7 linked regions of the Canis lupus familiaris genome follow. The protein of the gene in region 2 purifies or fractionates together with the protein of the main gene of each other region. This does not show direct contact. Links are inferred from orthologs where the notes say so. Each region holds a gene or a part of one and is shown on either strand. Other genes may lie near its edges. The genes, in order: SPSB2, RNF7, ASB7, TULP4, ASB6, RAB40C and RAB40B.

Region 1 (4,213 bases), on a different chromosome or scaffold from region 2:
TTATTTCTACTATATTTTTATAGTAGCTTGCCATAACAAAACACTGAGTATTTTAACAAGAAAATTTAATTTTCTCATAGTTCTGGAGGCAAGAAGTCTTAGGGCAACGTGTCAGTAAGTAGGTTTGGTTTCTTCTGAGGCCCTTCTTGCAGATGACTGCCTTATTGTGTCCTCACACAGTCTTCTCTGTGCACTGCACTTTTGTGTCCAAATTTCCTCTTCTCAAACTGACACCAGTCAGATTTGGGCCTACCTGACGGCCTCATTTTAACTTAATCATCACTTTAAAGGGCCTATTTCCAAATACACCACATTCTGAGGTACTGGGAGTTAAAGCTTCAAAATATGGACCAGAAGAGGGCAAATTCCACACCTAACAATGTTGCTATTATCTATGTTCTTAAAGTTATTTACCTCTTGAAATCAGTCATGGGGGGAGTATTTAGCATTTCAGTAAATGCTCCAAATTAGGGCTTTTTGTTCTCCCCGCCATGCCGCCATGCCCGGTGTCATTTAGTAGCACATCACAACTAGGAAGGTGTTAGTCTCGAGTATAATTTGAATCTGAAAAGGAAGAAATACACACACACACACACACACACAGGAGTGTGTATATGTAGATGGTGTACAGTGCATAACCTACATATAGCTTATGTAGCTTACATATAGCTTATATATATATATATATTTTTTTTTAATTTATTCATTCAGGAGAGATCCAGAGAGAGAGAGGCAGAGAAAGAGGCAGAGGAAGGAGGCTCCCTGCAGGGAGCCTGATGCAGCACTCTACCCCTGGACCCTGGGAACATGACCAGAGCCAAAGGCAGACACTCAACCAGTGAGCCACCCAGGTGTCCCTCGATGTTCTTTTAAGAAGTAATCGGGGACATCCTCCCATCGGTTTGGATTTACCCACAGGGATAAAACGTCCTTCCCTCCTCCCTACACTTTGAGAATCATTGAGGAGGAATGAACCAAGCACAAGCCAGTGCTATACCCCATTAAGATTCACTAGAAGGGGCATCTGGGTGGCTCGGTGGTTGAGCAGCTGCCTTTGGCTCAGGTCGAAATCCCTCGGTCCTAGGATTAGGATGGGGTCCTAAGTCGGGCTCCCTGCAGGGAGTCTATTCTTCCCTCTGCCTAGGTCTCTGCCTCTCTCTCTCATGAATGAATAAATGTTAAAAAAAAAAAAAAAAGAGAGACGGAGGGGGGGTTCACTAGAAGTAGAGGCCCTGAAGGATATAAAGGTGGAAGAAAAACTAGAAAAACTCGAGTCAGTATTTTTAAAATTAGCAAGGATAAACAAAAGCGTATTAGACTTGGCAAGCAAGATATCTGATGACTAATCTAGGTGAGGTTTGCGGAGCTAAAGCGTTTATGATCATCATAATAGGTGTGCGCTCCTTTACCCTAGCGTTTCTAGTAGAACCGGGGTGTCTCCTACTTCCGGCCTCCCCGCTCCAAGGTGCACAGAGCTTCACTCCCTCAGGGTGGGCAGGCCTCTACACTGGTCGGGGAGGCCAGGGGGCGGAGCGAGGAACTGCGAGGTGGAACCACAGGGCGCCTCTGACTGTAGAGACCCAGCAGGTGAGCCTGGAGCCCGAACCTGGCCGACGGCCCCGGCCCTTCCACGCCTCTCTGGAGCCCTGAACCAGAGCCCCCGTCCGCCGCCCGCTTCAGGGGCCGTCGCCTCCGAGCGCCGGTTCTCAGCTTCGGGCTCGGGCTTCCGCCCCGGGGCCTTTGTTCCGGCGCAGAACGTTCCAGACGCGCCGGAAGGCGGATGGCGGGGGCGGGGCTGCCACCGCGGCGGTCGGCCACGGGTGCGGCCGCTGGGGGGCGCGCGAGCCCCGGCTCAGGCCGCCCGCCCACGTGACCGCGGCGGGCCAGGAGGCCGCCCCCGCCCGCCCCCGCCCGCCGCCCGCCGCCAGCTCCGCCGCGGTTACGAAACGAGCGCCCGGGGCGGCGGCGCGGGGAGCCGCGCGTCGCCCAGGCCGACGGATTTTCCGTCGCCATTTCGTCGCCGCCCTTGTGTTTTGCGAGCGGCTCCCCTCTTTAAGTCCTGATGCTGCCATCCGGCAGCCCCGTAGTCTGGGGCGGGTCGTGTCGCCTCCCCAGGCCGCGGGCTACGAATCTGTAAAAATGGGGATCTCCTGGCGCGGAGATGTCAGGTCTCCTGGGATGCGGCGGAGTTTCATCGTAGGCGCCGGCGTGAGCCCGTTAAACAGGGCCGGAGGCTGCGAGCCAGCGTTGGGTTCCGCGCGGGCGTCCGACCGCGGGCCAGACCGTGTTCTCCGGGGCTCCAGTTCTCGCGGTTCCTCCGTCCGACGGGGCGGACCGCAGTGCTCGTATTCCGGTTTTAAAACTAGGTTCTAGCGTTCAGATGCCTCTTTTGTACCACGCACGCCCCGTGTGAAGCACCACGGCCGTCTGTCCGCCCCAGCGTGGCACGTTAATACGACCCCAAGAAATCCTCTCGAGTGGTCAAGAGCCCACGAATTTGGGAGCCAGGTCATCAAGCTCTCCCCCAACTGCTAGTGACAGCGAAGTACAGGTGATGATAAGCCTTTAATGAAGACTGAAAGAGCACTGAACTTACTGGTGGGAAAAAGGAGTCAGGTATATGAGCTTAATGACGGCAGTACCTGGCAAGGCAAGGAAAAAGAAACTCAAGTCAGAGTTCAAGCCTCCTGCCAGAGAAGACAGCTTCAGGTGGAAGAATTTCAAACATAGCCAAGGAGAACAGGGAGTAAAACTCACCCAGAGCTACTAAAAACAATTATTGGCCAAATAGCTATCTTCTGTAATAGAATGAGGCTGGTATCTTGGGGTTGGGGGGGGGGGGGCGCAGGGGACAAGGCCCAACTGCTTTTATTTTTATTTATTTATTTTAAAAAAATTTTTTTCTTTGATTTTTTTATTTATTTATGATAGGCACACAGTGAGAGAGAGAGAGGCAGAGACACAGGCAGAGGGAGAAGCAGGCTCCATGCACCGGGAGCCCGACGTGGGATTCGATCCAGGGTCGCGCCCTGGGCCAAAGGCAGGCGCCAAACCGCTGCGCCACCCAGGGATCCCCCCCAACTGCTTTTATATTTCCAAACTAGAAACACAGGCCCTGGATTGAAAACAATTAATGACCTTGTGACCACCGTTCTGTCCCTCTTTCATGGCGGCAGTGTAGCCCTGTATGTAATAAAGCCAGACATGTTCTACAGTGATACAAATGCCAGTGCCCTAAAAAACAAAAAAGATCTGCTTGTACTCCAGCAATTAAATGTAAAGTGCTAGATGACTGCAGCGCTTTCCACAATTGGGATTTATAGTTCTACATTCTAGAAATCCAGTAGGACCTTATAGAGAAAGGCTTTGGCTTTAGTGTTGAGCATAGACTACAGTACCATCTGAGGGGCCACACTGTATGAACGTGCTCCAAAAGACGTAAAAGGCTACCTCTCCCCAATATCACCCTTGTCCTTCACTTTGCTGACCTAGGCAGGATTTGCTGTTTCAAAGCCACATCTATGGGAATGAGTGAGATTCCTCTCTGACTCCCAGAGCCATGAGTGCTGACCCTAATCTAAATGTGATAATGAGGGGTGCCTGGGTGGCTCAGTCAATCAAGCATCTGTCTTTGGCTCTGGTCATGATCCCAGGGTCCTGGTATAGAGCTCTCTGTTGGGTTCCCTGCTCAGCAGGGATCAGAGAGCCTGCTTCTCCCTCTCCCTCTCTGCTTCTTCCTCCCTCTGCTTCTCCCTCTCCTTTTCCCTCTGCCTGCCATTCTGGCTGCTTATACTCTGTGTCACATAGATAAAATTGTTAAAAATAAGTAAATGTGGTAATGTGTTGGAAGAGTTGGACAATCTTCAGTATTGCCAGTTACATCACTTATATTAAACAGTCATGGCAACAATCAAGCTTAAAACAGCCCATGCATGTTAAGAAGAATGTGTTTAGGATTTTAAGGGGTTTCTATTAACCAAGAAATGAAACACACTGTTCAAGTGGCCTAGCAAGTGAATCATGTTAGCTTTGTGAAAGAAATTGAAGCTGGAAGCCACAGAGAAACACTAATAAAAAGAATGAGGAACTGATAAAATCATCCCAGAAGATAAAGATATGATAAACAGGAAGGGAAACCCAGATCACTTCTTCATAAATATGTTAAAATTGCTGCAAAAATGGTGAAATACCTGAATGATTTCATTCCTTTTTT
Region 2 (4,067 bases):
CAAGTTAACATAAATAGCCACGAAGGGTTACTCTGGCTCTTTATAATTCAACAGTACTAGCAAACCTATTTTCCTCTTCAACAATTGCTCACTGTGTCATCTGCTCCTTTCAGAATGAAGGGAGAAGAGTGGAAATCAAAGAAGAGAGTGTTAACCACATCAGAACAGGCTGACAGGCAAATTTTGGATCAAGAAGTCATAATGAATCATTTAGGTGATTTATGAATTTGAAATATTAAGGAGATGGAATTAAGTGGGCTCTTTTGCAGAATCTAGAAATTTCTGGATTATGATTTTGATTGAGCTTTGATTAGACTCATCAAAACCCAACCTAAGAGTGAAAAACAACAAAACCCAACCTAAATCTATAAAAATTCATAGTTTTAGATAAAGAAAATTCTTTCCATGATATTCCTAAGATCTAAAACAGAACATTTTTAAGGAGTACAATTACAGCAATACCTTTTAGAATGATGCTACTAGGGTAAGGCTTAGGAAGTCTGAAAAACTTCCTTCTGTTGTCACCTGGCCACTAAAATGGATTTTAACACCTCATAAACAAAATACAGAGGTCTAGTCCAGAATACTTTCCTTAACTCAAAGGACAGCTGTTGTAAATCTGCAAAATTAATCCACAGTCAGAATACTTGCTATAATTAGAAGGTTACTATGAATGTCAACCATTTATAGCCCATATTCTGACTTACTCTAAATATGCCAGTACAGTTTATTTGTTGCAGTATTTCAACCATTACTTTGAATTCTGCATTTCTACTTACAAATCTAAAATCTTTCTTTGGGGAGAAATATAAAAAACACTTTCTGGAACACTTTCTTTTTAACTAAAGGAAATTTAAAGGATAAAACATTAAGCAAAGTTTGCTATGCAAAAGAACAAAAAATTAAGTTGCCTGGATAAGTTAATGATGCCACTCAAACTGGAAATTATGATAGTTTAAGTAACCGAGGCATAAGGGAGTGGTAATGCAGACCAATAAACTGGGTGCTTTTAAGACCTAATATGCAAAATAAGTGGATCGTGTCTGAAATCAAGTTCTTTCAAAAGTAAAAAATATCGTTCCAATTTTAGCATAGGTACTGCCCAAGCGGGCACTCAAAAGTAAAAAATAAACAATACTTGAATCCTATTGTCATAAATACTCTCTGAAACAAGATTTTATGAATAAAAAACAAGTGTGCTTAAAAAGAGTGGAAACTGAGATTCTCTCCATTCTAGCAGGTTTTAATGTCATCCCTTGAGAGAGCAATTCTGTTTATTTTTCTCCAATTCTCTCATTTTTCAGAGCAGGACACGAAGTTTTCAAACTGCAGAACCTCAGTTTTCCCCACCTACCCCTAAGAAACACGAAGATCCTCTCTCCGTGTTTTGATTGTTCTATTAAAAAAATAAAAATAAAAAAATAACTTGCGTTTAGGTAGCATTGTCTTTTGCAAGGTGGTTTGAGATCTTAAAAAAAAAAAAAAAAAAAAAAAAAAACAGAGAGCATATAAAACGTAACAGGATGAAGCTGCTCTGAAAGGTCTCGTTTGGCCCAGTGTTTTCATTTGGAAGTATCACAGAAAAGAAGTCGAGACTTGATTTGTGCAAGAGGGCTCTCCATAAAGGTCTGACTCGGAGCAGGGCAGGATCGTTGTTTTTTTTTTGTTTTGTTTTTTGTTTTTCTTCAGGAAATGGCATCCTATGATAGGGAGGGGCCAGAAGGAGATGGAAGCTTTATGTTTCTGAATAAGAGGGCATCCACTCTTCCATTCCTGAGAACCTTCAATATTTTATTTTATTTTATTTAAATGTTATTTATTTATTCATGAGAGACACAGAGAGAGCGAGAGAGAGGCAGAGACACAGGCAGAGGGAGAAGCAGCTCCCTGCGGGGAGCCCGACGCGGGACTCGATCCCGGGTCTCCAGGGTCACGCCCCGGCCTCCGGGGTCACGCCCCGCGCTGCCCCACGTCCTTGAACCACCCTGTGTCTCTCCGAGGCCCCATCGCGGCGCGGGCAGGTCCGCAGGCCTGCGCAACAGCAGTTCGCCAACCCAGACACGCGACGGCTGCCGCGCCTCCCGCCGCTGCGGGGCGGACTGAGGGGTCGCGCCGGTGGGAGCGGCCTCCAGAGCATCACCCCGGCGGGTCATCGCTGCCGTTAAGGTGCCCTTACTCGCCCGGGGCCTTTCACGCCGACCCCTCCGCGCCTGGCTTTCAAGAGCTGGAGCTCGCCGCACAAACCTAAGTGGCTTCTCTTCGCTGCCATCAAATGACCCAGTTTTAGTTCTTCGGCCACACCCTTTCTCTACCTGGAATTACATCAATTCCTCCGCTCGCTGCCCGCGTCCCTCCCGGGCAGCCCCGCTCCCGGCGCCCGGCGCCCCCGAGCCCCAGCGGCGGCCCCCGCGCCCCGCCCCGCCCCGCTCCTCCCGCCCCGGGTCTCGCCGAGCCTGCTTCCCCCGGCTGCCCCCGCCGAGTCGGCCCCGCGGAGGCCGTGGCGCGGCCCGGGCCTCGCGTGCAGCGCTTACCCATCACCTGGACCCTGCAGATGGCGCACGTATCGCACTCCACGTCCCAGCTCCACATGGCCACCGCATTCCACTTCTTGAGAGAGAACATCTTGTCGCCTCCGGACTTGGAGCCTGCGCTCCCGGAGTGAGAGGACACGGCGCAGGGCTCCTCGCCGTCTTCCACGTCGGCCATGGCGGCGGCGCGGAGCCGGCAGCCGAGACGTTAAATCGGGGGAGGCGGGCGGCTATGGCGGCTCCGCGGGGCCGCCCGGCGGGCCAGAGCGCCCCCTGCAGGCCGCGGACCCCGGCGGCGCCTACGACCCGGGCCGCCTCGATTGGCCGGCGCGGCCCAGTGACGTCACTGACGCCAGCGCCCGGCCGCTCGTCGCCCCGCCCCGCCCCCGGCCCGCGGGGGCCTCCCGGAGGGCGAGGCCTGCGGGGCGACTGCGCGCGAAGCCTGGGTGCCCGCGGCCCCGAGCGCCCTGCGCAGGCCCCGGGCGACCTGCCGTGTGCCTGCCGTGTGCCTCCCGGGAGCTCAGCGCCCTCACAGGCCTCTCGTTCGTGGCACCGCCGCCACCCGCGTGTGGACCCCGCCGGAGCGGGGACCGCGTCTTCGCCCTCGGCGCCTCGTCCTCCGTATGCAGGAGACGTTTGCCTCCAGGTCTTCCGACAAACCTGGTTCAGCGGTTCTCAGACTTTCGGGGCTCAGCACCCCGATGTAGTCTGTCTGCTTTTTAAGAAGCTTAAATCGACGGGCAGCCCGGGTGGCTCAGCGGTTTGGCGCCGCCTTCGACCCAGGTCGTGACCCTGGAGACCCGGGATCCGGATCGAGTCCCACGTCGGGCTCCCTGCATGGAGCCTGCTTCTCCCTCTGCCTGGGTCCCTGCCCAACCCCCCTCTGTCGCTCATGAATAAATACATAAAATCTTTTTAAAAATTTGAGGGGAGGATTGAAATGCATCCATTTAAAAGTAACGGTAACAGGGGCGCCTGGGTGGCTCAGTGGTTGAGCGTTTGCCTTTGGCTCAGGTCGTGATCCTCGGATCCGGGATCGAGTCCCACATCCTTGCAGGGAGCCTGCTTCTCCCTCTGTCTATGTCTCTGCCTCTCTCTGCCTCTAATAAATAAGTAAAATCTCTCTCTAAAAAAAAAAAAAAAAAAACTAATAGTAATCATCTCATTACAAGTTATTAGAGGGATGGTGCCCATATAATGTAGCTTCTGGAAAACGCTCTCATAAAGAGGGAAAAGAGGGAGAATAGCTCTGAATCCTGGCATGCAAATAGTTTTGACCCGCTGGTCGCCTGCAAGGATGCCCCGGACGCAGGGGTCCATGCTCCAAGAACCTCTGCTGCTGTTTAACCTCCTCTTTTTAATGTGTAGGAGTAACACCGCTATTATCATGTGAAGGTGCCAGTTATGAAGCCTGGGCGCTTCTCTTGCTAGCCTCGGGGTCATGTTCTTCTGTTTTCTCAAGCAAAGAGACAACATCTTCCTTTTTAAGAGATAAGAAAGTTGAGGTACCAAATGCCTAAGGAGGTGACTCATTACCAC
Region 3 (4,091 bases), on a different chromosome or scaffold from region 2:
CTTCCCTACCATGGCTTACGAGGTCCTGCAAAGATCTGCGGCCTGTCCCACACCCGCAACGTCATTACCAATCATCCTCCCTCTTACTCACTCTGCTCGACTACGCTGATCTTCTTTCTTGCAGTTTCTGTTAAACAGCAAAGGTTAATCCAGCATCAGAGGCTTTGCACTGTTGATTCTACCTGCCAGCAAAATTCTTCCCCACGCCCCCACCTCCTCCCAGATCGTGCCAAGGTTGGCTCCTCCTCATTCAGATCGCTGCTCCAATGTCACTTCCTCAGAGACCTTTCCTGACTACCTCTCTAACCAGCAGGTCCTAGTCAAACTCGATCCTATTGTTCTCTTCGACTTCCTTTGTATAAGTTATCCCTATCTGATAATTTTGTGTTTATCTGTCTCCCTGGTTAAAGCGAGAGCTCCACGGGGACAAGTGATTCCATCTACCTTGTTCCCTCTTGTCTCCCTAACGGCTGAAACAGCTCCCGGCCAACAAACGCTTGCTAAATGAATCCATGCACTCAATGGACAGGTGCATCTCGCGTATGGTCCGGTCTCCTGTCCCCTCCGTTGTCAGAGATCCGTCAGGGTGCCTGTCCTTGCAGGAAGGCTCTTGCAGCGTCACCGCCATCCCAAAGAGAGTCTTCTTTTCCTCGCCGGGCGAGGCAAGCCCAGCCTGGTAGCTAAAGGGGCCTCAGGGACCCAAAGACGAGCTGCGGACCCGGCACCCGCGCCTGAAAAGCGCTGCGGGGCGGGGGGGGGGGGGGGGGCGGGCGGCGGCACGCGGCGTCCCTCTCTCCTCGCTTCCTGGGGACTGCCGCCTCCCCAACCTTAGACTCCTGCACCAGCCTCTCAGTCGGCCGCACACACGCCTTCCTCGCCGCCGCTCCCAGTTACCTGCCGGGGATCTGGCGTGGGAGACTCAGCCTTCGCACCGCCGCTCCAAGGACCAGGGGCACCCTCCCGGCCACCGTAGTTCTCGGAAAGCGCCTGCCGACCTCCCCTCCCGCATGCGCAGAGGGCCCGTTCGGCGGACGGCGTCTCTTAGCAACCGCGTCGAGTCCCTCCGCCAGGGGCGGAGCGTCGGAAGCCTCAGGGGGAAGCCGAGGGGGAAGTGAGCGAGGCCAATCCGAAACGAGTCCCAGCCTCGGTCGGCACGCCTCTCCTAACTGTCGCGAATGCGCAGACGGCTTTACGGCAGGCAAGGGGTGGGGGCTGCCGTGGGTAAGGAGGAGAGAAGGAAGCAACCAACCAACCAAGTCGCCCCCACCCCCCACCCCCACCCACCCCGGACCTGGTTTACGGCTCCGGGCTCAGGCTCCTATGCGGCCGCTGATTGGCTGCTGAAGGCTTGGTCCCATCCCAGTGACCCCAAAGTGCTGGAGGGAGGGGGCGGGGGTGGCCCAGTGCAAAGTGCATCCCGAAAGCCCCCTGCCTGGAGCCCCCGCGGCTGGCACTTCGGACCCTGTATGACCTGGGACTTCGCTGCCCGGAGACCTCCCGTGTGCCCCCGTAGCTGGGAGCCTCCGGCCCGGAGCGCGGCAGCCCCTGCTCCGAGCCCTCAGACCGGGGCTGCCCCCCCACCCGAGCCGGGACTTCCTCCCTGCACCCCTGCCCCGAGGCTGCCCGGCGCCCAGGACCGTCGCCTCCGTTCTGCCCGGCTGTCCGGATGCTCGCCGGGCTGGGGCCGTGAGGCACCGAGAAGGATCAGGAACACCCGTGTCCGGCCCTGCCTGGAGTGTTTGTTCAATGGAGAAGTTGGTGAGTGTGGAGAAGCCTGAAAGGAGGAAGAGAAGCAGCAGCTGAGGAGACAGGTAAAGTCAGTTACCTCCGCCGAGGGGCCGGGCGCTGGCTGGGGAGGGAGAATCCCTGCTCCTTCCCGCCTGCCCTTACCACTCTTCCTTGGCTAACCCCTTCCTCACAGCCCCTGGGTCCCTGCACCACTCACAGGTCTCTGCGTTCCAGGTTTGAGCTGGCTGGAGGAGACCAGAGAGCACGAAGGGGTCAAGCCGCCCACCGGAGAAGCCGCCGAGAGCCTCTGATCAGCATCCTCTGTAAAGGTAATAAGCCAGACCTCCCCTCCCCCATTGTTTATTCCTGGCCCCTACCTCATTAGGCACTGCTTTCTTTTCAGCCTAGTTACCTGGAAATGCAGCTCTTTCCTGGCACCCAGTTTCCCCAGCAAGAACGAAACACTGCCTGTGCCTGATCCTTAAGATTTTAACTAATAACTTCTCTCTCAGAAGCCTATTTCCCTCTTTTTCTGTGTACCTTGTGTTTCCGTTCTTTGCGTTATCCTTTCCGTGCACTGTACCATTTACTCTGCTCTGAGACTTTGAGACCTTTTTGTAGCCCCCCCTCCCCCTTACTCTCTTAGGAATTCCTCAATTCCTTGTTAATTGCTTGTTAATTCTGAATGATTCTGCTTTTTAACTAAACCACAATTTTCTGTGTTCCCCTTATGTCTTCCTATCACCTTTTCTCCACTCACTCATCAGAAAATCTTTTCAGTTAACTGACAAGGGTTTAGTAGAGGAAGGCATAGTAGTGGCTTGAAATTTATGAGTTTCGAAAGACAATGTGACTTTTTTCTCGTGAAAAGTGAATCTGTGTACCTGGATAGTGTGGATAGTTGAAACCAGTTATTTGCCCCTGAAGCACTTGAGCATAATTAACTCTTGCAGCTTTTATGTGTTTCTGTGTGACAGGTGTGGATGGGTCTTGAAACTGTTATATTTGTTGCACCATAGATTTTCTAGAAGAACTTCCAAAACTTTATACAATATTTTGTTAATCAGTTGACACTCAAGAGTTTGAAAACACGGGAATGTTTTGGTGTTTTTAGAATCTAGGGCTTTGTTTCTGCACTCTTCGTAGATAAGATCTCTTCAAAACCCTTACAGATAATTTGTTAGATTGAAATGTAAGCATCTCATTCGTGTGATCACGTTTCTGCCGCTGTATTTTGTGGCTGCCTCTGAAAATGCATTAAAGGTAAGTGTAGGACATTCATGTACTTCCTAAAGAGGGAATATGATCAGGGAAATTATGTAAGAGTTAGTTCAGAAATTAGTCAAGTGAATGACTTCTTTGCCATCCGGTAACAGGGGTATAAAGTGACTTGTTAATCTCAGAGTTATTTTAATATCTAAGATTGTTTAGGGAATTTCAGATACAAAGAAGTACTTAAAATAACAAGTTGTTAGGAAATTTTTGATTTACTCTGTTCCACTGGACTTTCTGCCTTTTACAAAAATAAATTAATGCCTTTCCTGATTATTTTTAATTGTGAAGACGTCAGTCAAGATACTTTTAAGTTCTCTGAGGATTTGTGTTCTTGAGACCTGGAACTGGTCACCAAAGGGAGAGTGTATGCTACTGAATGAGATTGGAAATAAGTACCTAGCAGTGATTAGACGTTCACGGTGAACATTTAGGACAGCCTTTATGTGTACATGGGATCCACTTCAATTCAGTAAAAGCTAGGCAGAAGTCTGTCAAGTTAAAGGGAATTTTCATTATTTAAATGTGCAAATTACCAGAGAAATGCCTAATGATGGCTTTAGGAATTGTTTTTTTTTAAATATGCTAACATACTTGAAGTATGTTTTTAAGGTACAAATGAATTATGCGTTTTCTGTTCAGACCTTCTCACATAAATATTTTTATTTTCTACTTTAGATATAGAACTCTAGCATGTTTTCATTTACAAGGGGTGTTATCACCTGAGATTGTAAGAGAGTGGGTCTGTGGCAAGTCAAGTATGCAAGGTATAGAGACGACACTCCTTTATCCTGGTTGCTAGGCAGGTCATTCTCATTGCTTAAATAATATTTCATCGATCCTCTCAGCTTTTGACGGTTTTTCTAAGATTAGGGAATATATATGTAAATGTAAATTGTTGACATCTGTTTCTAATATTAGCATGATTGAGAGTGTTTGGTCTAGGTTATGCTGAACATTTGAAATGTTTAATTTGGGTAATTATTTACCAACATGGACAGTTTATTTTTTTCAACCTGGTAGTTAATTTTGTGTTAATTCGCTTGCCAGGTACATGGGTTTTTAAAGGAAAGAAAGGTCCAGAACCTGAT
Region 4 (3,993 bases), on a different chromosome or scaffold from region 2:
GACAACCAGAAATTCACAGAAGCAAGAATTCTTAAATCTGAAGCCGATTTAAAAATTTGGCAAATAGGCAAAATAGAAAAAAGTGCAGAATCTACGCCAAGAGTGTCTACTACACTTAACTACATAGGACTTTGATGCCTTATGGAAGAAAGAATGCTGATTTATTATTTTTTTTTAAATTAGTTAATTTTTACAAGTAGGCTCCACGCCCAGCCCAGCCCTGTGCCGAGCCCGACAGGGGGCTTGAACTCGGGACCCTGAGATCAAGACCTGAGCTGAGATCCAGTGTCCCAGATTAACGGACTGAGCCGAGCCCTCCAGGGCATCCCAATCTTGTCTGCTTGGACTTTTAAAAAAAATTTTTTTAAGTACACATATAGGAACAATCACACAATCAGTGATGCTATTTCTTTGTCCACGACGGAAAACGCAGGATGGATGCACAAAGTTTCCGTTCCTAGCACGACATCAATGCGGTGGCGAAGAAGAGCAGTGAATTCTCTCTCTGTTGAAACGACGCCGTCTGGTCTCTTCCCTGTAAGACCAACCGAACAGCAGACACTGAGGTCCAAGATCACCGCCGGAGACACTGGGACGACGGTCGCCTCGGCGCTTCCCGGTGGCTCCAACTTGGGACGCGGTGGGACGCCCGCCCGCTGCGGGCTCAGGGCGGGCCCAGGGCGGGCCCAGGGCGGGCCGGGGCAGGGCGCCCGCCGTCGCGTTGCGGGGTGGGCAGGATTTCTCAGGTCGGGGGGGCGCAGAGCCGACTACTTTGTTTTCCTCGTGGGAGCAGGCTGGGAAGCAGCCCTGCACGGCGAGGACGGCGAGCTGCGCGTGTGCACGCGCGTGAGCGCCGGTGTGTGCACGCGTGAGTGTGCGCTCGGGCGAGCGCAGCGGGGCGGAGGCGAGCGCGAGCAGGTGGCGGCGGGCGGGCGGCGGGCGGCGGGGGGCCGGGCGGGGCCGGGCGGGGCCGGGCGGGGCGGGGCGGGGCGGGCGTCCACCGGCGGGGCGCGGGTCCCCAGCGCGCGAGGGCGCGAGGCCGGCCGGGGAGGCGCCTGCCAGCCGCGCCGGGTCACGTGGCGCGGTCACGTGGCGCGGAGCCGGGCCCAGCGGCGGCGGCGGCGGCCGAGGGAGGCGGAGACTCGGTCGAGACGCGGGGCGGGGGGAGGCGGCGGCGGCGGCGGCGGCGGCGGCGGCGCGGGGCTGCTGGAGGCGGAGGCGGAGAGGCGCGGAGGAGCGCGGGGCCGCCGCCACGGGGCGCTAGGAGGTGAGGCGGGCGCGGGGCCGCTGTCACGGGCGCCGGGCCGCGCGCTGCCGCCCTCCGCGGCGAGGAGGCGGCGGGCCCCGGCGCCGCCGGCAGCGCCCTCCCGAGCCCGGCCGGGCGCCCGCCCCTCGAGGTGGGCTCGCGGCCCCCGGCGCCGGCCAGGCCCGTGTGCGCGCGCGGGCGGGGGGCGCGCGGGCGGCGGCGGCGGCGGCGGCGGCGGCGGCGGCGGGCGGGGAGGGCGGCGGCGGCCCGGCCCGGGGCGGGAGGCCGGTCCTCGGGCGGGGGGCGGGGGGCGGCGGCGGCGGCGGCGGCGGCGGGCGGGCCGCCTCGGGTGGGCTCTCCCGGGGGCGCGGACGGCGGGCTCCGGGCGGCGCTGCCTGCTGTTGAGCCGTGTTCGCCTTTTGTTTCAGCGTACAGGAAAATGGGGCGAAATAGAGCTTGGTGTGCGTGTGTGTGTAAATCAGGAGGCGTTTGGCTCGGAGCCATTTTTTCTTCTTCTTCTTAATTGTGGAGAGAGAAGATCCCTTAAAACGGTTTCCCGGGGAGACGGGGCTGTGCTCCTCCTCTTCCTCCCACCCCCACCCGCAGCGTGCGGACGGAGTGGATTTCCCCCCTGCCCCTGCCCCTGCCCCTGCCCCTGCCCACCTTCCGTCCTCCAGGCTGTGCCCTCCCTTCCCGCCCCACCTCGGCGAAGCCCCGAGCGTGCGGGGCGTCTGCAGAGCGGCCCGGTCACCTGTCGTGGCAGCTGCATGGAAACGCTGGCGCTTCTGCTGTCTGGTCTGTACGGTTTCCTCTGGCAAATCAACGGAGATTCCGCTCAGAATACCAACCCTTCCTCTTTTCCCTGCGCTTAAAAACAAAGTGCATGATGCTGGCTCTGAAGTTGGACCCGCTTGGGCCAGCAGCAGGGAGAGGTGTCTGACTTTTCCTCGCCACATCACTTCAAGGTTGGAAAGGTGAGGGCCACCTGGCTTTGTGGAAGGAAATGAGGGTGACACGGTCCTCCCGGGGATGGATGCGACTTACCTGCTAAATACCTGCTAAATCGCTAATTGCTGATCAGAAAGTCTTCCGACACACTTCTCTTCCTGGGGACAGTCAGCTTCCCTTGCAGGGAACTGTTTCCTGGATTTCTGTATTTAGTTGGGGGCTCTTCTCTTTCTATTTGGCACTCCAGGACTCCCAGTAGACAGGTTTTTGAAAAAGCACAGAGAAAGAACATTCATTTCTAAGGTTTTGAGGAATGCAAAAATCTTATCTTTGCGGGGGTCCCTTTATTTCTGCTTCTTTGTGTCTTGGGTTTCCATTTGTTAGTAACTGGAATTTAGTTTTGGCCCTCGGGGCCCGTGGGAATGGTGCTGTGGTCCCGGAGAGGGCTCATCACCAGGCCCGGCAGCACCAGATAGCTGGGATTTGAGGTCGTGATGGATGTGAAGTGACAGGGCACCTTGCACAGAGCCACACTGCAATCCAGAGAGCAGCTAGCTGCCCAGACTCCTGGCCGTCTGGTGGGGCATATTGGGAGCTGATCCCAACATTTTGCAATGATAGCCACATTAAGACCTGGAGGACCTCAGGCGACCCCCCCCCCCCTTCTTTTCTTGATAGTTTACTATCGTGGAAATGAATATATGAATAAATTGTGAAAAGCCAAATCTAGTGTTTAGTTCCTCAGTTTAAAGAATAGTACTTAATTTGTAGGAAAGAGTTATTTGAAGACGTGAATTTTCTTTAAGAATTTTAAGTGCTCTATTTTAGTAAGGGCTGTGAAAGTAGCAGGATCTTCATGTGATGGGGGAAGGTGGTTGACCTCTAGAGTTAGAAGTATGTAGACCTGAGTTAGAGGAAATCATATGGGGAAAATTTCTAATACAGTGGAGCTCTCAGGATACAAGAGTAGGAAGCCAGCATTGCTTCCTGTGCCTGAGAAATAATAATAATGTATTTTCTACTGTATACTTTAAAATTGACTTCATTTAGAAAAGATGTGTGTGTCATGTTGGACTGACTTTCTGTTTTCATATGGAGCTATAAGAGTGGTAGTTTGGTTATTCACGCGTTTTTCCCACCCAAACTCTTGAGTTAAAAAAAAAAAAAATTCTTTGACCTATATAAGGATACATGGTAATGGAAGTAATGGAAGAAGTAGAGAGACAGTGGCCTTCCTTTGAGTGGAATGTCTGCCTTCTCACTAGCTAGTGTCTGGGACAGAAAGTGAAGCCCAGGTTTTCTCTTGGTTTTACTGAGTATCCGAAATCAGGCATGTTTATTGAGTGCCTACCATGTGCATGGTGAAGCTAAGACATTATTCTTCATCTGTTCCACTGCACTTGCAATATCAATTGCAGTCTCCCTCCTGTTCTTTTCCGTATGTGGAGAAAGATTGAAGATAGATTGAGTGGGCCAGCTATGCATGTGATTCACAAAAACTCATTAAAAATTGAGTTAAACTTCTGTCAGGAAATACTTTGGTTTAGTTATTGCATTGGCTCCTCTTTAGGAATCTGTGAAGTATTTTCAGTATTACCTTCCTGAAATTGTTCATTTGCCCAGGGAGACTGCTGACACAGCAGGGAATATGTAATTAAAATGTAAAATTTCTTTTAATTTGGCTGGGATAATGTTCAGTTACTCAATTTTAACATACCAAACATACTGTTGTTTGTGTGGCAAAATATACATATAACATTTATCATCTTAACAGTTCCATGGCATTAGTACATTCACAT
Region 5 (3,071 bases), on a different chromosome or scaffold from region 2:
CTGCTCTGAAGCAGGGATGTGGTGAGTGGGGGGCTATGGGCAGCCTCACAGGCCCCCAGGCCCATTCAGCTATGCTTTCTTGGCTCAGATCCATGAGAGCAGCCCCTTGGACCTGGCCAGTGAGGAGCCCGAGCGCCTGCCCTGCCTGCAGCGCCTCCTGGATCTTGGAGCAGACGTCAACGCGGCTGATAAGCATGGTGGGTGCCTCCCACAGGAAAGCAGGGCACCTGGCACCGGGTGCTTTGCGAGGGAAAGCCAGAGCACCCCAGGACAGTGGCTAGGTGTGCAGGCTAGATTTTGCTGCATTTTGCTGACCTGCAGAAGCTTTCAGGAAGTGGTGCAGCCATTGGCCCCACGCCAGCCCCTTGAGGTCTGTCTGCAGGAGGAAGTAGGGCATGCATGTGGTCAGATTCTGAGGCAGAGTTAGCACTTCTTGGCAGAGACTAAGCCCGGGTCTCAGGTAGCAGCATCTGCGTGTCCAGAAATATCCCACGTCTTCTGGCCACTCTGCTCTTGGTTCTGTGTTGGTGGAAAGGGAATGACTAGAAACCGATCACCCTCCACCTTGGCTGAGAAGTTGGTCCTTTTTAAAGTTTGCTTTCTGGGGGGTGCCCAGCTGGCTCAGTTGGTAGAGTATGTGACTCTTGATCTCAAGAGTTGTGAGTTCAAGCCCCATGTTGGGTGTAAAGATTACTTAAAATCCTTGAGGACAAAACAAAGTCCACTTTCTCATCCTGTGGTGTCCCCTGCACCTGAGGGGTGGTCCTGACCTTGGTTTCCTGGTCCACACTCCTCATTCTCTTCCTTCCATAGGAAAGACTGCTCTGCTCCATGCTTTGGCCAGCAGTGACGGGGTGCAGATCTATAATACTGAGAATATCCGGCTCTTACTGGAAGGAGGTGAGGCTGGTCCACAGGCTGTTCCCAGGCCCTTCTCTTTCTTCCCACCATTAAACATGAAGCATTACTTTGCAGGGATTTAAGACCTTCTCCTGTTTTCTCTTTTCCTGACTGGCTCTTGTAGGGGCAGATGTGAAGGCTACCACCAAAGACGGGGACACTGTGTTCACCTGCATCATCTTCCTGCTTGGTGAGACGGTGGGAGGGGACAAAGAAGAGGCCCAGATGATCAGCCGCTTCTGCTTCCAAGTCACACAGCTGCTCCTGGCCCATGGGGCTGACCCCAGCGAGTGCCCAGCCCACGAGTCCCTCACACACATCTGCCTCAAGAGCTTCAAACTGCATTTCCCTCTCCTGCGCTTCCTGCTGGAGTCTGGAGCTGCCTATAACTGTTCCCTCCATGGTGCATCCTGCTGGTCTGGCTTCCACATCATCTTTGAGAGGCTCTGTTCCCACCCAGGCTGTGCTGAAGATGAGAGCCACGTGGACCTCCTGCGCAAAGCTGAGACCGTCCTAGATCTCATGGTGACGAATTCCCAGAAACTCCAGCTGCCTGAAAACTTCGATATCCATCCTGTGGGCAGTCTAGCAGAGAAGATCCAGGCCCTTCACTTCTCCTTGAGGCAGCTGGAGAGCTATCCTCCATCCCTCAAGCACCTATGTCGGGTTTACATCCGGCTCTATCTTCAGCCCTGGCCTGTGGATGCGAAGGTCAAAGCCCTACCTCTGCCTGACAGGCTGAAATGGTACCTCCTCAGTGAGCATAGTGGTACCGTTGAAGAGGACATCTGACCACTCCCGGATGGAAGGGTGCAGGGTCTGGGCAGCTCAGCCTGCTGGTGGATTTTGGTACCTGTGGCAGCCTTAGGGGAGAACCTTCTGGCCATCTTCCGGAAGGTACAGGTTGGGAGAGGAGACTTGATCCTAACTGTGTACCAAGAACACAGGTGGAGCCCAGCAGCTGCGGTCATTCCTGTGGGAAAAAAACTCTGTCTTCCAGGGGGACTGCCCCCCCTTCTGTCTGCCAGAACCCCCAAGTCTCAACCACATTGGGAAAAGGGACAGGGTGTAGATTTGGGACAAGTGTACACCTCGTCTGCAGGGAGCATCAGGCAGGGTAGCTTTGAGTCTCTGTCCTCCTGAGAACTGTAGGAGGCTGGTCTGTCTTGCATGGGGCCCAACTAAAGCCAGAAGGAAGCATGGTAGGCTTGTGGGGGACAACCCTGCAAGGCCCTTCACTCCCAGCCTCTCCTCATGCTAGATTATGTCACATACAGAAGTGCTTTTGGTGGGCTAGGGAGAAAGCTGAGCTGACCCCTGCCACCTTTGGCCGTTCTGGGACCAGGTCACCCACGGCCCAGCCACCAAGGCACGGGACTGGACTCTGGTGGCAGCTGTCTGTGCCAAACCTGGGACCTTGGGAGACCATGTCTTCTGCTAAAAGCAATTCTGCATGACCAGAGACAGTCCTTTCCAAAATGTCTCACAATTTTGTGAGGGGTCCATCTGATGAAGAAAGCTACACTGCTGAAAGCTGACTGTACTGCCCAGGCCGAGCCCTCACAAAGCCGAGTCCCAGGCACATGGGCCCTTATGAATTGTGTAAATGCTGGGGAAGCAAGCTGAGGCAACTAAAGATACATTATAAAGTAAAACATTTCTCTTGGCCTTCAAGGTGACATTTTGGCCCCTCACCCTTCCCCAGCCTCAGATAAAGGCTCCCACTGCAGCCATTAAGAGGTGAGAAGCACTAGGGGACGGCAGCATCTGGTGGGGACAATTAACACAGCACTGCTGTCCCAGTTAAAAAAGAGTACCACTCCACACTGGCTAGGGCCTTCCCATTACAGGATTCACCCTTTTATTTTCTGACTGAAAATGCTCACCGAGGAGGAGCTGCCAGGCCCAGCCAGGAGTGAGGCTGCAGACTTGTAACGATCACATTAGGGACACCAGGGCTCCATCACCACACAGGCCTCAGAAAGCAAACATCCCCAGCAGCTGCAGGAGGTAGCAGGCCTGCCCAGGCTCGCCGTAGCAACAGGGTGACAGTGCCAGCTCCAGGCCCGGCTCCTCTCCTCCCCCCAAGGGAAAAAAGTCCTCTATGACCGAGAGTTCTCTTCCTCTTAAGGCAGCCAGGCCTACAGCTGGAAGGCCAGGTGGTACAAGGG
Region 6 (4,065 bases), on a different chromosome or scaffold from region 2:
GGACTCCAGGATCACACCCTGGGCTGCAGGCGGCGCTAAACCACTGAGCCCCCCCAGTCTGCCCCCTCTCTGGTATTTTATAGTTAACTTTCTGAGTCACTCATTATTAGGGGTCACATGTAAATACGTTCCATTAAAACAAAGGTCATCACTCTGGGTCCCTGATGGAGTCATGCTGTCCCCCGGGAGGGCATAGTCCCAGGCCTCTTCCTGGGCACACAGAGCTTCTCTATGCATAAAGCCTGGGATCAAAGGAGTCGGTAATTTTTTAAAAGCATAAATGTTCAAATGATCCTGGTGATGCTCTGCTGTCACTGGAGTTCTTCACTGTTGGCGCAGGCTCTCCGTAGCTCCCCGGTCTCCTGGAGCACCCCCACACCGACCGGCTCCCCCCCTTCCAGGTCCCCCTCAGCTCTCCCTGAGCACCCCCCCAGCTCCCCCCACCCCTACCCCTCCAGGTCCCCCTCATCCCCCCAGCATCCCCCCACCCCTGCCCCTCCAGGTCCCCCTCACCCCCACAGCATCCCCCCACCCGGCTCCCCCCACCCCTGCCCCTCCAGGTCCCCCTCACCCCCCCACTTGGCTCACCCCAACCCCTCCCCTCCAGGTCCCCCTCACCCCCCCAGCACCCCCCCCCGCGGCTCTCCCCACCCCTCCCCTCCAGGTCCCCCTCCCTACCCCCCCTCGCCCCCTTCGCCCTTCCTCTCCCCCTCGCCCCCCCCCACCGGCTGCCCCCACGTCCGGGCCCACAGGCCGAGGGGTGGGGAGGGTATTATTCTGCTTTATTTTCCATTTTGCAGAGGAGCTGCGTCGTCACGCGTGTTCGCGGGGTCCTCACGCTTCTCTGTCCGTTAAGTAAAGCAGCGGGTGCAGCCTGTAAACAACCGCCGAGGCGCTTCCTCCCGGACCCCCGCCCCGCCTGACCCGCCCTGACCCGGGGGGGGAGGGGGGGGGGCTCCCGCCGCGAACCCAGGGCCGGGGCAGCCATCCGCCCCGGGTCCGAAGGCAGGCGCTGCCGAGCCTCCAGCACCGTGGGCCGCGCGCGACCCAGGCCGCCCCCGCCCCCGCCCCCGCCCTCGCCCTCGCCCTCGCCCTCTGGGCCGCTCCGGCCCCCCTCCCCCCGCAGCGGCCCCGGCCCGCCCCGCCCCGCCGAGAGCGGAAGTCCCGCCCCCGGCCCTCCGAGCGCTGATTGGCCAACCCCGTCCCGCCACGCCCGGGCCCCGCCCCACCGCGGGGAGGCCGGCTCCCAGGGCGCAGTCGCACGGGGCTCCCCGCCCTGACTGGGGTCTCCGCGGGAGCAGCGCCGCGGCTGGCGAGCGGCGTTCGTCCCCCGGGACCCGAGCGCGCCGCCTCGGCCGGGGACCGCCACGGCCCGCGGGCAGGGGGCGTATGCAAACAACCGAAGCCCCGAGCTCCCGATTGGTGAGCGTGTAGAGAAAGGGGCGGGAAGTGCGGGGCGAAGGGGCGGGCTTAGCGGGCCGTGATCGACGTGCGGGCGGGCCAGTGGCTGTGGGAGACTCGGCAGCGGTGGCCAATGGCGGCGGGGAGGGGGCGGGCGAGGGCCGCGGCGTTCCCGGGGCGGGGGCGGGGGGCCAGGGTGGCTGGCGACTCCGGCCGCTCTGCGGGGCGCGGCGGGGGCGGTGAAGGTGCTGGTGGATGTGCGGGCGAGCCAGGGGCGCCGGGGAACCCGGAGGCGAAGGGCCAAGGGCGGCGGCGGCTAGGCCAGGCGGCTGGAATCTTGCCCCGAGAGCGGAGGGGGGGAGCGGCGGGGGGGCGGGCCGTCGTGACGGACGTGCGTGCGGACCAATGGGCACGGGAGGAGGCGGCGGGCGGCCAATGGCGACGGCGCGGAGGCGGGGCGGCCGGAGGTTTAACGGCGGGGTGTGGGAAACGGCGGGGGGCGGGCCGGCGTGACGGACGTGCGCACGGGCCAATGGGGCCGGCGGGCGCGGGGCGGCCAATGGCGGCGCTCGGGCCGGGGGCGGGGCGCGGGGCTGTGCGGCGCCGTGCGGGAAGCGGCGAGCCGCGGGGCGGCGGGGCGGCGGGGCGGCGGCGGCGCTGAGGTGAGGCGAGGCGAGGCGAGGCGGCGGCGCGGGCGGCGGGGGCGACGGGGCGGGCCCGTCCTGTCCTCGCCGGCGCCCACTCACCCGCGCCCGGGCCCGCAGGTCGGTCCGAGGCCTCCTGGTGCCGCCGTGCGCCCGCGGCCGGCGCGGGGGACATGCGGGCGGGGCCCGCGCGCGCCTGAGGATGGGGACGCAGGGCAGCCCGGTCAAGAGCTACGACTACCTGCTCAAGTTCCTGCTGGTGGGCGACAGCGACGTGGGCAAGGGCGAGATCCTGGAGAGCCTGCAGGACGGCGCGGCCGAGTCCCCGTACGCCTACAGCAACGGTAAGGCCGCGCCCCGCCTCGCCGCCCCGCCCCGCGCAGGCCCCGATCCCCGCGGCGCCCCTGCCCCGCCACCCGGCCCGCAGGGACACCACTGCCCGGCCATTCCCCCGCCCCCCTCGCCCCCCCCCCCCCCCCCCCGGCAGTGACACCTCTGTCTGGTCATCCCCACCCACAGTGACACCGCTGTCCCCACCATCCCTGCGCGCAGTGACACTCCTGTCCCCACCATCCCCGCCCACCGTGACACCCCTGCCCCCACCATCCACACTCACAGTGACACCCCTGCCCTGGCCATCCCTACCTGCAGTGACACCGCTGCTCTGGCCATCCCCGCCTGCAGTGAGACCCCTGCCTCCGCCATCCCCACCTGCAGTGATACCCCTGTCCCCACCATCCCCATCCGCAGTGACACCCCTGCCCCGGCCATTCCCGCCCACAGCAACACCCCTGCCCCGGCCATCCCCGCCCGCAGTGACACTCCTGCCCCCGCCATCCCCACGGCAGTGACACCACCACCCTGGCCATCCCCGCCTGCAGTCACACCCCCTGCCCCGTGCTCTGTGGGGGCCACTGTGCCAGGTGTGCCAGGTCTGCTGTGACCCCACGGCCCAGGTGTGCAGGCAGGCCGCACCCTGAGATGGTGGCAGCTCCGTGCGGGCCCAACATGTCATGCTAGGAGGAGACATTCTCTTCCCGGTGTGACTACATACTCCTGAAATTTCTGCTTGTGTTGGTGAAGGGTAGGGTGGGTACACAGCCTGGCACCTGTCAGAGCTGCTGCCAATTCACGTATCTCACGTAAGAAAGGCAGCGAGGTCAGTGCCTCCCGGCGTGGGGGCCCCAGCCCCAGGAGGATTTCTTTGAGGGGAACCAGGAAATCTACTGGTGGCCCGGCAGCCATCTCCGCAGGGACCTTGTGTGCTCCTGGAAGTCCTGCTCCATCTCCTCCTACTTCTTCTGGTCTTTGTTCCCCAGCCCTTTGCTATTTTGTGTCTTGGACCCTTGGCGGTCTTGTCGCACTGCTCTAAGTGTTTGCTGTTTGCTCAATCACCTGGAGGCGGCTGACGGTGTGGACGCTGCTACTCCGACCCTTTCATTTTAGGACCTGTCGGGGTTGTTGGATGAGCTGGACCTGCTGACTGCCCTTCCCGCTGGAGCCGCTTCAGCAGGGGGCAGCTCTGCTGGATTTATACCGTGGCCCCTCCTGCAGCTCATGCCCTCTGCCCCACCTTAGAGGAGACAACTGGAAGGGGAGGAGAGGAGGGGCCCCGGGTTTGTTTTAAGGTGAAGGAGGGCCTCCGCTGGGGCCCTCGCAGGCCCTCGCCAGCGGATGCTTGGCAGTGATTGTCAGAGGTGTCCTTCCCGCCGTAGACAGTGAGTGGTTGAGGTGTTTTTCCAGTAGGGGCATCGCCTCCCAGAGCCCCACTCCTGGGTGGCTGCTGGGGCGTGTTTACAAGAGCGTGAGAAGGCCGGGCTTTGTCCGGGGCAGCAGTGTTTTCCTGGAACGTTGATAACGTGCTTCTGAGAGTCAGCGCAGCCTCACCCTCAGGTGTTCCACGTGGGGGCCGCCGGCACTCGGGGAACACAGGGCCACCGTATGCCCCTCGTTGGTTGTGGTGGTTGCCACGGTTCCTGTGACACGTTGACTGGAATAGGGCTGGCAGTGAGCTGCCTGA
Region 7 (4,171 bases), on a different chromosome or scaffold from region 2:
TCACATGTGACCTGCCCTTACCACCTAATGCCACCGTGAGTCAAGACGTGTTCATGGGGACTGCTGGGGGCGACCTGTTTTCATCTCAAGGTGAGGAATGGCGATGTGCAATTCTGGAGACGTTTTTAGTGGTTACAGCTGGGAGAAGAGTGCCCTGGTATCTAACGGATAGGGGTCAGGGATGCTGCTCTGTCCAGCAACGCAGAACAACTACCACAAAGAACAATCCAGACCCCTGGGACCCCTGGGGCTGGTTCAAACATCCCACACTGGACCTCGAGACTGTCCGAGGGCCCTGGGAAAGGCTGACTGAGGGATTGGTGAGCACAAACCTCCCAGCCCTGGCTCTCAGCGGGCAGAGCTCCTCACCCCAGAGCTCATTCCTGCTCGGGGTAGGCCTGCCCCCCTCCCCACCATGATGCCTGCTGTGGACTGAATATGCTCCCAACCATATATTGAACCCCTAAATCCCAGTGTGATAATACCTGGAGATGTGGCCTTTGTAAGGTAATTAGAGCCCCGAGGTCGTCTGGTGGGGACCTTGATTATGCATATTCAGAGGACATTCTAAGAATGGACACAGGGCTGCCAAGGATATGGGATCTTCCCCATGGGGTGCTGCCAGAGGCTCTACTACAGGGCCCTTGTATTGGTCCAGAAGGGGCATGGATTCCCATCAGGGTGATCCCCGCAGGGAATTTGGGGATTGGATCTGAAAGCAAAGCGGTCCAATCTCAGTCCAGCGTCCATGACTCCCTAGATGCGGGGAGAAGTCTGAGGCCTGGAGGGTCCCCACCTTGCCTGTCCCTCAGCTCCCCCAGAAACACGCGCACAGGCTCACGTGCGCACACCCATGCACATGCAGGGCGCAGCGATGCACACACACGAACACGTGCACACGTGCACAGGCGCACGCACACACACGGGCACTCGCGCCCACGCGCTCGGGGACAAAGACGAGGCCCCGGGAAATCCTGGGGGACACCGCGGGCCCAGGCCCACGCGGGACAGGGACCCCGGACGCCAGACGACCTGGTTCTGGCCTCCCGGCTGCACGTCCGCCAACTGAACCGGCCCCGCCAAGTCTGCAGGTGGCAGCGCGTGGAGGGCGCGGCAGCCGGGAGGCCAGGCCCCGCCCCCGGCCCGCCCACTTCCGGACCTCATTGGCTGTGGCCGTCACAGCCGCGTCTCGCCCCGCCCCGCTTCGCCCCGGCCCCGCCCCCGGCCGCAGAGGCGGCGAAGACCAAAGCCTCCCGGGAGGGGCGGAGACGAGGGGAGATGGACGGGCAGCGCAGCCAATGAGCGTGCGCAGCCGCCCTAGCAACTGCGGCTGGCCAATGGCGGGGCGGGGCGGGGCGGGCGGGGCGGGGCTCCGTGCTGTCAGCGGCGGACCGCGGGGCCTCTGTGCCTCCCGCGGGCCGGGCATGGGCGCAGGCGGCGGCGGCCGCACGATGAACACCCTGGGCAGCCCGGTCCGCGCCTACGACTTCCTGCTCAAGTTCTTGCTGGTGGGCGACAGCGACGTGGGCAAAGGCGAGATCCTGGCGAGCCTGCAGGATGGCGCGGCCGAGTCCCCCTACGGCCACCCGGCGGGTGAGCGCGGGGCCGGGACCCGGGAGCAGAGCCCGGGGGGATCGCGGTGGGGGGGGGGGGCGGGAGCTCGAGGTGGGGGGACCGGGAGCGCACGGGGGGTGGGAGGGAGGGGGGCCGGGAGCGCACGGGGGGGGCGAGGTGGGCCGGGAGCTCGCGGTGGGGGGGGCCGGGAGCTCGCGGTGGGGGCGCCGGGAGCGCAGGGGGGGCGGGAGGGAGGGGTGCCGGGAGCGCACGGGGGCGGGCTGGGGTCCTGGCGGCGGGCTGGGAGGGGCTGGGCGGGGAGCCAGCGGGGGCCCAGAGAGCGCGCGGAGGGCCGGGGGGCGTGGAGCCGCCGAGCGCAAGGGGCCGGGGGAGCGCGCGGCGGGCGCGGGGAGCCGGGCACCGGGGGAGCGCGCCGAGGAGCTGGGGGCGCAGCGGCCGGGGGAGGCCCTCGCCCGGGGGCGCAGAGCCAGGCGGTGGAGCGCGCGAAGGGCCGGGATCCAGGCGCGCGAGGCTCTCGGCCCTGGGCCTGAGTCGGGCGCGCGCTCCGCAGGAGGCCGGGCTGCACCCCAGGTCCGCGCGTGGGGAGCGCGGCACGTCGGTCTACGGTCTCCCCAAGGTCCGCTTCCTCGCGCAGCCAGCGGCCGGGCAGGGCTCTGGGGTACCTCGGCCCCGGCGGAGGCGGGCGGACCACGCAGGTGGGCTTTGGGGAGGAGGTAGCGGGGCTGCTGCGTGCGCCCGGCTGGGAGGCCGCGAGCGCGTTTGGAGAGGATGCGTGGGGGTAACGGAGCGGGCGGGAGGGGACGGGGCCGAGGCTCCCAGGTGGAGGCTCTGCGCGTGGGAGGGATGGAAGCCGAGGGGAGAGGAAGCAAGAGAACTAACCAGCCTGGAGAGGCTCCTCCTCTGCAAACAGGATCCCGGAGGGCAAGAAACCCAAATGACCCTGGGGAATGCGGCCTGAGGGCGGGAAGGGAAGCACCACGGAAAGGGAAGGAGTGAGGGTTCAGGTGGAGGAGAAGCCACAGGGCTCAGGGAGGACAGGGGGTGGAGGATCCTCAAAGCTGGGGTCTGGGGGTCTGAGGGTCAGAGGCCCCAAGGCGGTGTGCGGCGTTAGGAGGGAGAGATGGCGAGGGGAGGCCAGTGAGGTGGGCATCCAGCTGGACCAGCGGGCAGGGGCCGAGTCAGGTCTTCACCCAGGCAGGCCGCTCTGACGGTGCGGGTGGCTGCAAAGGGCACCTGTCAGCCCTTGTGTCAGAGGCTCCAGGCGCACCTCCAACACAGGTCTTGCCCCCTCTGTCTCCTGGGCTTGCAGTCGGGGTCTCCAGGAGCAGAGGAGGGCGGCCCAGCAAGGGGTCTGTTGATGTTCAAGCCAGCAGGTGTGCTTCCTGCCCTGACCAGGGTAGAATTGAGGCAACGGTCCAGAGGAGGACGTCCTGGGTCCAGAGGACCTCAGCAGCAAATGAACTTGAGTTGAGGCAAGAGGGGCAGGGGTGCAGGGCAAAGTTTGCGGGGTGAGGGACGCGAAGGGAAACAGTGGTCAGCAGAGCTGGCAGAGAGGGGAGCCTGGGGCTTCTGAGCAGGGAGGAGAGGCTCAGGTGGAATGGCCTGGGGCGGGCCTGTGAGATTGGAGGTGTTGGGCCGGGGAGAAAGTTGGGAGGAGGTCGGGAAGGTTCCGGAGAACCGATGCCAAGAACCTGGACTATTCCTGAGGTTGAGGGTGTGAGAGTCAACCTTGGCGCTTGTGAAAATACAGATTCCGTCTCTAATTCCAGATCTGTGTCATCCAAGGTGGTGCCATCAGTGACATGTGATTTTTAAATTTAAAGTAGGGGGATCCCTGAGTGGCTCAGCGGTTTGGCACCTGCCTTTGGCCCAGGGCACGATCCTGGAGTCCCGGGATTGAGTCCCACGTCGGGCTCCCGGCATGGAGCCTGCTTCTCCCTCTGCCTGTGTCTCTGCCTCTCTCTCTCTCTCTCTCTCTCTCTCTGTGTGTGTCTATCATAAATAAATCTTAAAAAAAAAAATAAAGTAGTTACAATGAAACACAAGTAAAGGTTCCTATGAATCGTGGGTCAAGTGCTCAACAGCAGCCCCTGGCCTGTGACCCTGTAGCAGGGCTCTGCTGGCAGGCGCCGCTCTGGGGCTCGGGCTCCAGGAGGGCAGCGGGTTGTGTCTGCAGTTTCCTCCGCAGGGCCTGGGGCTCAGTGGGTGCAGGAGCTCGTAGAGGTGAAGGAAGACACATCGGGCACATAGAGCACGGTGCTCCTAAAACTGCGTGGCTGGGGGCACGAGCCCTAGTGGGTGAGCGATGTGGGCCGGTGGGAGGAGTGTGGACAGAGTGGGTGTCCTGGTGGTTTGAACAGAGCTTGGGTGGCTCTGCTGCGTTACCTTCTTTCTTGTTATTTGTAGACTGAGCGTTTGTAAAAGCAACGAATTAGCACTTTCCCCCAAAGGTCTTTCTTCCACCCCGAGGGAGGACTTAGGTTAAAAAAGACACTTTCCAGGGATTTTAAGAAGTTGAAATCTTTCCCAGTATTATTATTATTATTATTATTATTAGACACGTTCTACTTTGCATTCTGCTGGGGGCTTGGGGAGG

Evidence for each region.
Region 1: the proteins of RNF7 (region 2) and SPSB2 purify together in Homo sapiens (co-immunoprecipitation; 3 studies listed by BioGRID and IntAct, with this or other methods). This does not show direct contact. The link is inferred for Canis lupus familiaris from reciprocal best matches to the Homo sapiens genes RNF7 and SPSB2.
Region 3: the proteins of RNF7 (region 2) and ASB7 purify together in Homo sapiens (co-immunoprecipitation; 4 studies listed by BioGRID and IntAct, with this or other methods). This does not show direct contact. The link is inferred for Canis lupus familiaris from reciprocal best matches to the Homo sapiens genes RNF7 and ASB7.
Region 4: the proteins of RNF7 (region 2) and TULP4 purify together in Homo sapiens (co-immunoprecipitation; 3 studies listed by BioGRID and IntAct, with this or other methods). This does not show direct contact. The link is inferred for Canis lupus familiaris from reciprocal best matches to the Homo sapiens genes RNF7 and TULP4.
Region 5: the proteins of RNF7 (region 2) and ASB6 purify together in Homo sapiens (co-immunoprecipitation; 4 studies listed by BioGRID and IntAct, counting the BioPlex papers as one, with this or other methods). This does not show direct contact. The link is inferred for Canis lupus familiaris from reciprocal best matches to the Homo sapiens genes RNF7 and ASB6.
Region 6: the proteins of RNF7 (region 2) and RAB40C purify together in Homo sapiens (co-immunoprecipitation; 4 studies listed by BioGRID and IntAct, with this or other methods). This does not show direct contact. The link is inferred for Canis lupus familiaris from reciprocal best matches to the Homo sapiens genes RNF7 and RAB40C.
Region 7: the proteins of RNF7 (region 2) and RAB40B purify together in Homo sapiens (affinity purification with mass spectrometry; 3 studies listed by BioGRID and IntAct, with this or other methods). This does not show direct contact. The link is inferred for Canis lupus familiaris from reciprocal best matches to the Homo sapiens genes RNF7 and RAB40B.

What each region holds. Positions count from the first base shown.
Region 1 is NC_049248.1:7,948,372-7,952,584, reverse strand, and holds the start of SPSB2 (SPRY domain-containing SOCS box protein 2), read left to right. Parts: upstream 1-1,413; 5' UTR 1,414-1,587; exon of another isoform or gene 1,588-1,716; intron 1,717-4,213. UniProt on the Homo sapiens protein: Substrate recognition component of a SCF-like ECS (Elongin BC-CUL2/5-SOCS-box protein) E3 ubiquitin-protein ligase complex which mediates the ubiquitination and subsequent proteasomal degradation of target proteins.
Region 2 is NC_049244.1:38,109,685-38,113,751, reverse strand, and holds the start of RNF7 (RING-box protein 2), read right to left. Parts: upstream 2,801-4,067; 5' UTR 2,707-2,800; coding exon 2,532-2,706; intron 2,313-2,531; exon of another isoform or gene 2,245-2,312; intron 1-2,244. UniProt on the Homo sapiens protein: Catalytic component of multiple cullin-5-RING E3 ubiquitin-protein ligase complexes (ECS complexes), which mediate the ubiquitination and subsequent proteasomal degradation of target proteins.
Region 3 is NC_049224.1:40,784,668-40,788,758, reverse strand, and holds the start of ASB7 (ankyrin repeat and SOCS box protein 7), read left to right. Parts: upstream 1-1,291; 5' UTR 1,292-1,811; intron 1,812-1,962; 5' UTR 1,963-2,057; intron 2,058-4,091. UniProt on the Homo sapiens protein: Probable substrate-recognition component of a SCF-like ECS (Elongin-Cullin-SOCS-box protein) E3 ubiquitin-protein ligase complex which mediates the ubiquitination and subsequent proteasomal degradation of target proteins.
Region 4 is NC_049222.1:48,221,970-48,225,962, forward strand, and holds the start of TULP4 (tubby-related protein 4), read left to right. Parts: upstream 1-1,193; 5' UTR 1,194-1,267; intron 1,268-1,674; exon of another isoform or gene 1,675-2,220; intron 2,221-3,993. UniProt on the Homo sapiens protein: May be a substrate-recognition component of a SCF-like ECS (Elongin-Cullin-SOCS-box protein) E3 ubiquitin ligase complex which mediates the ubiquitination and subsequent proteasomal degradation of target proteins.
Region 5 is NC_049230.1:54,248,449-54,251,519, forward strand, and holds the end of ASB6 (ankyrin repeat and SOCS box protein 6), read left to right. Parts: intron 1-88; coding exon 89-197; intron 198-813; coding exon 814-900; intron 901-1,024; coding exon 1,025-1,692; 3' UTR 1,693-2,571; downstream 2,572-3,071. UniProt on the Homo sapiens protein: Probable substrate-recognition component of a SCF-like ECS (Elongin-Cullin-SOCS-box protein) E3 ubiquitin-protein ligase complex which mediates the ubiquitination and subsequent proteasomal degradation of target proteins.
Region 6 is NC_049227.1:40,431,896-40,435,960, reverse strand, and holds the start of RAB40C (ras-related protein Rab-40C), read left to right. Parts: upstream 1-1,265; 5' UTR 1,266-1,422; intron 1,423-2,165; 5' UTR 2,166-2,247; coding exon 2,248-2,389; intron 2,390-4,065. UniProt on the Homo sapiens protein: RAB40C small GTPase acts as substrate-recognition component of the ECS(RAB40C) E3 ubiquitin ligase complex which mediates the ubiquitination and subsequent proteasomal degradation of target proteins.
Region 7 is NC_049230.1:581,015-585,185, forward strand, and holds the start of RAB40B (ras-related protein Rab-40B), read left to right. Parts: upstream 1-1,371; 5' UTR 1,372-1,424; coding exon 1,425-1,593; intron 1,594-4,171. UniProt on the Homo sapiens protein: RAB40B small GTPase acts as substrate-recognition components of the ECS(RAB40B) E3 ubiquitin ligase complex which mediates the ubiquitination of target proteins.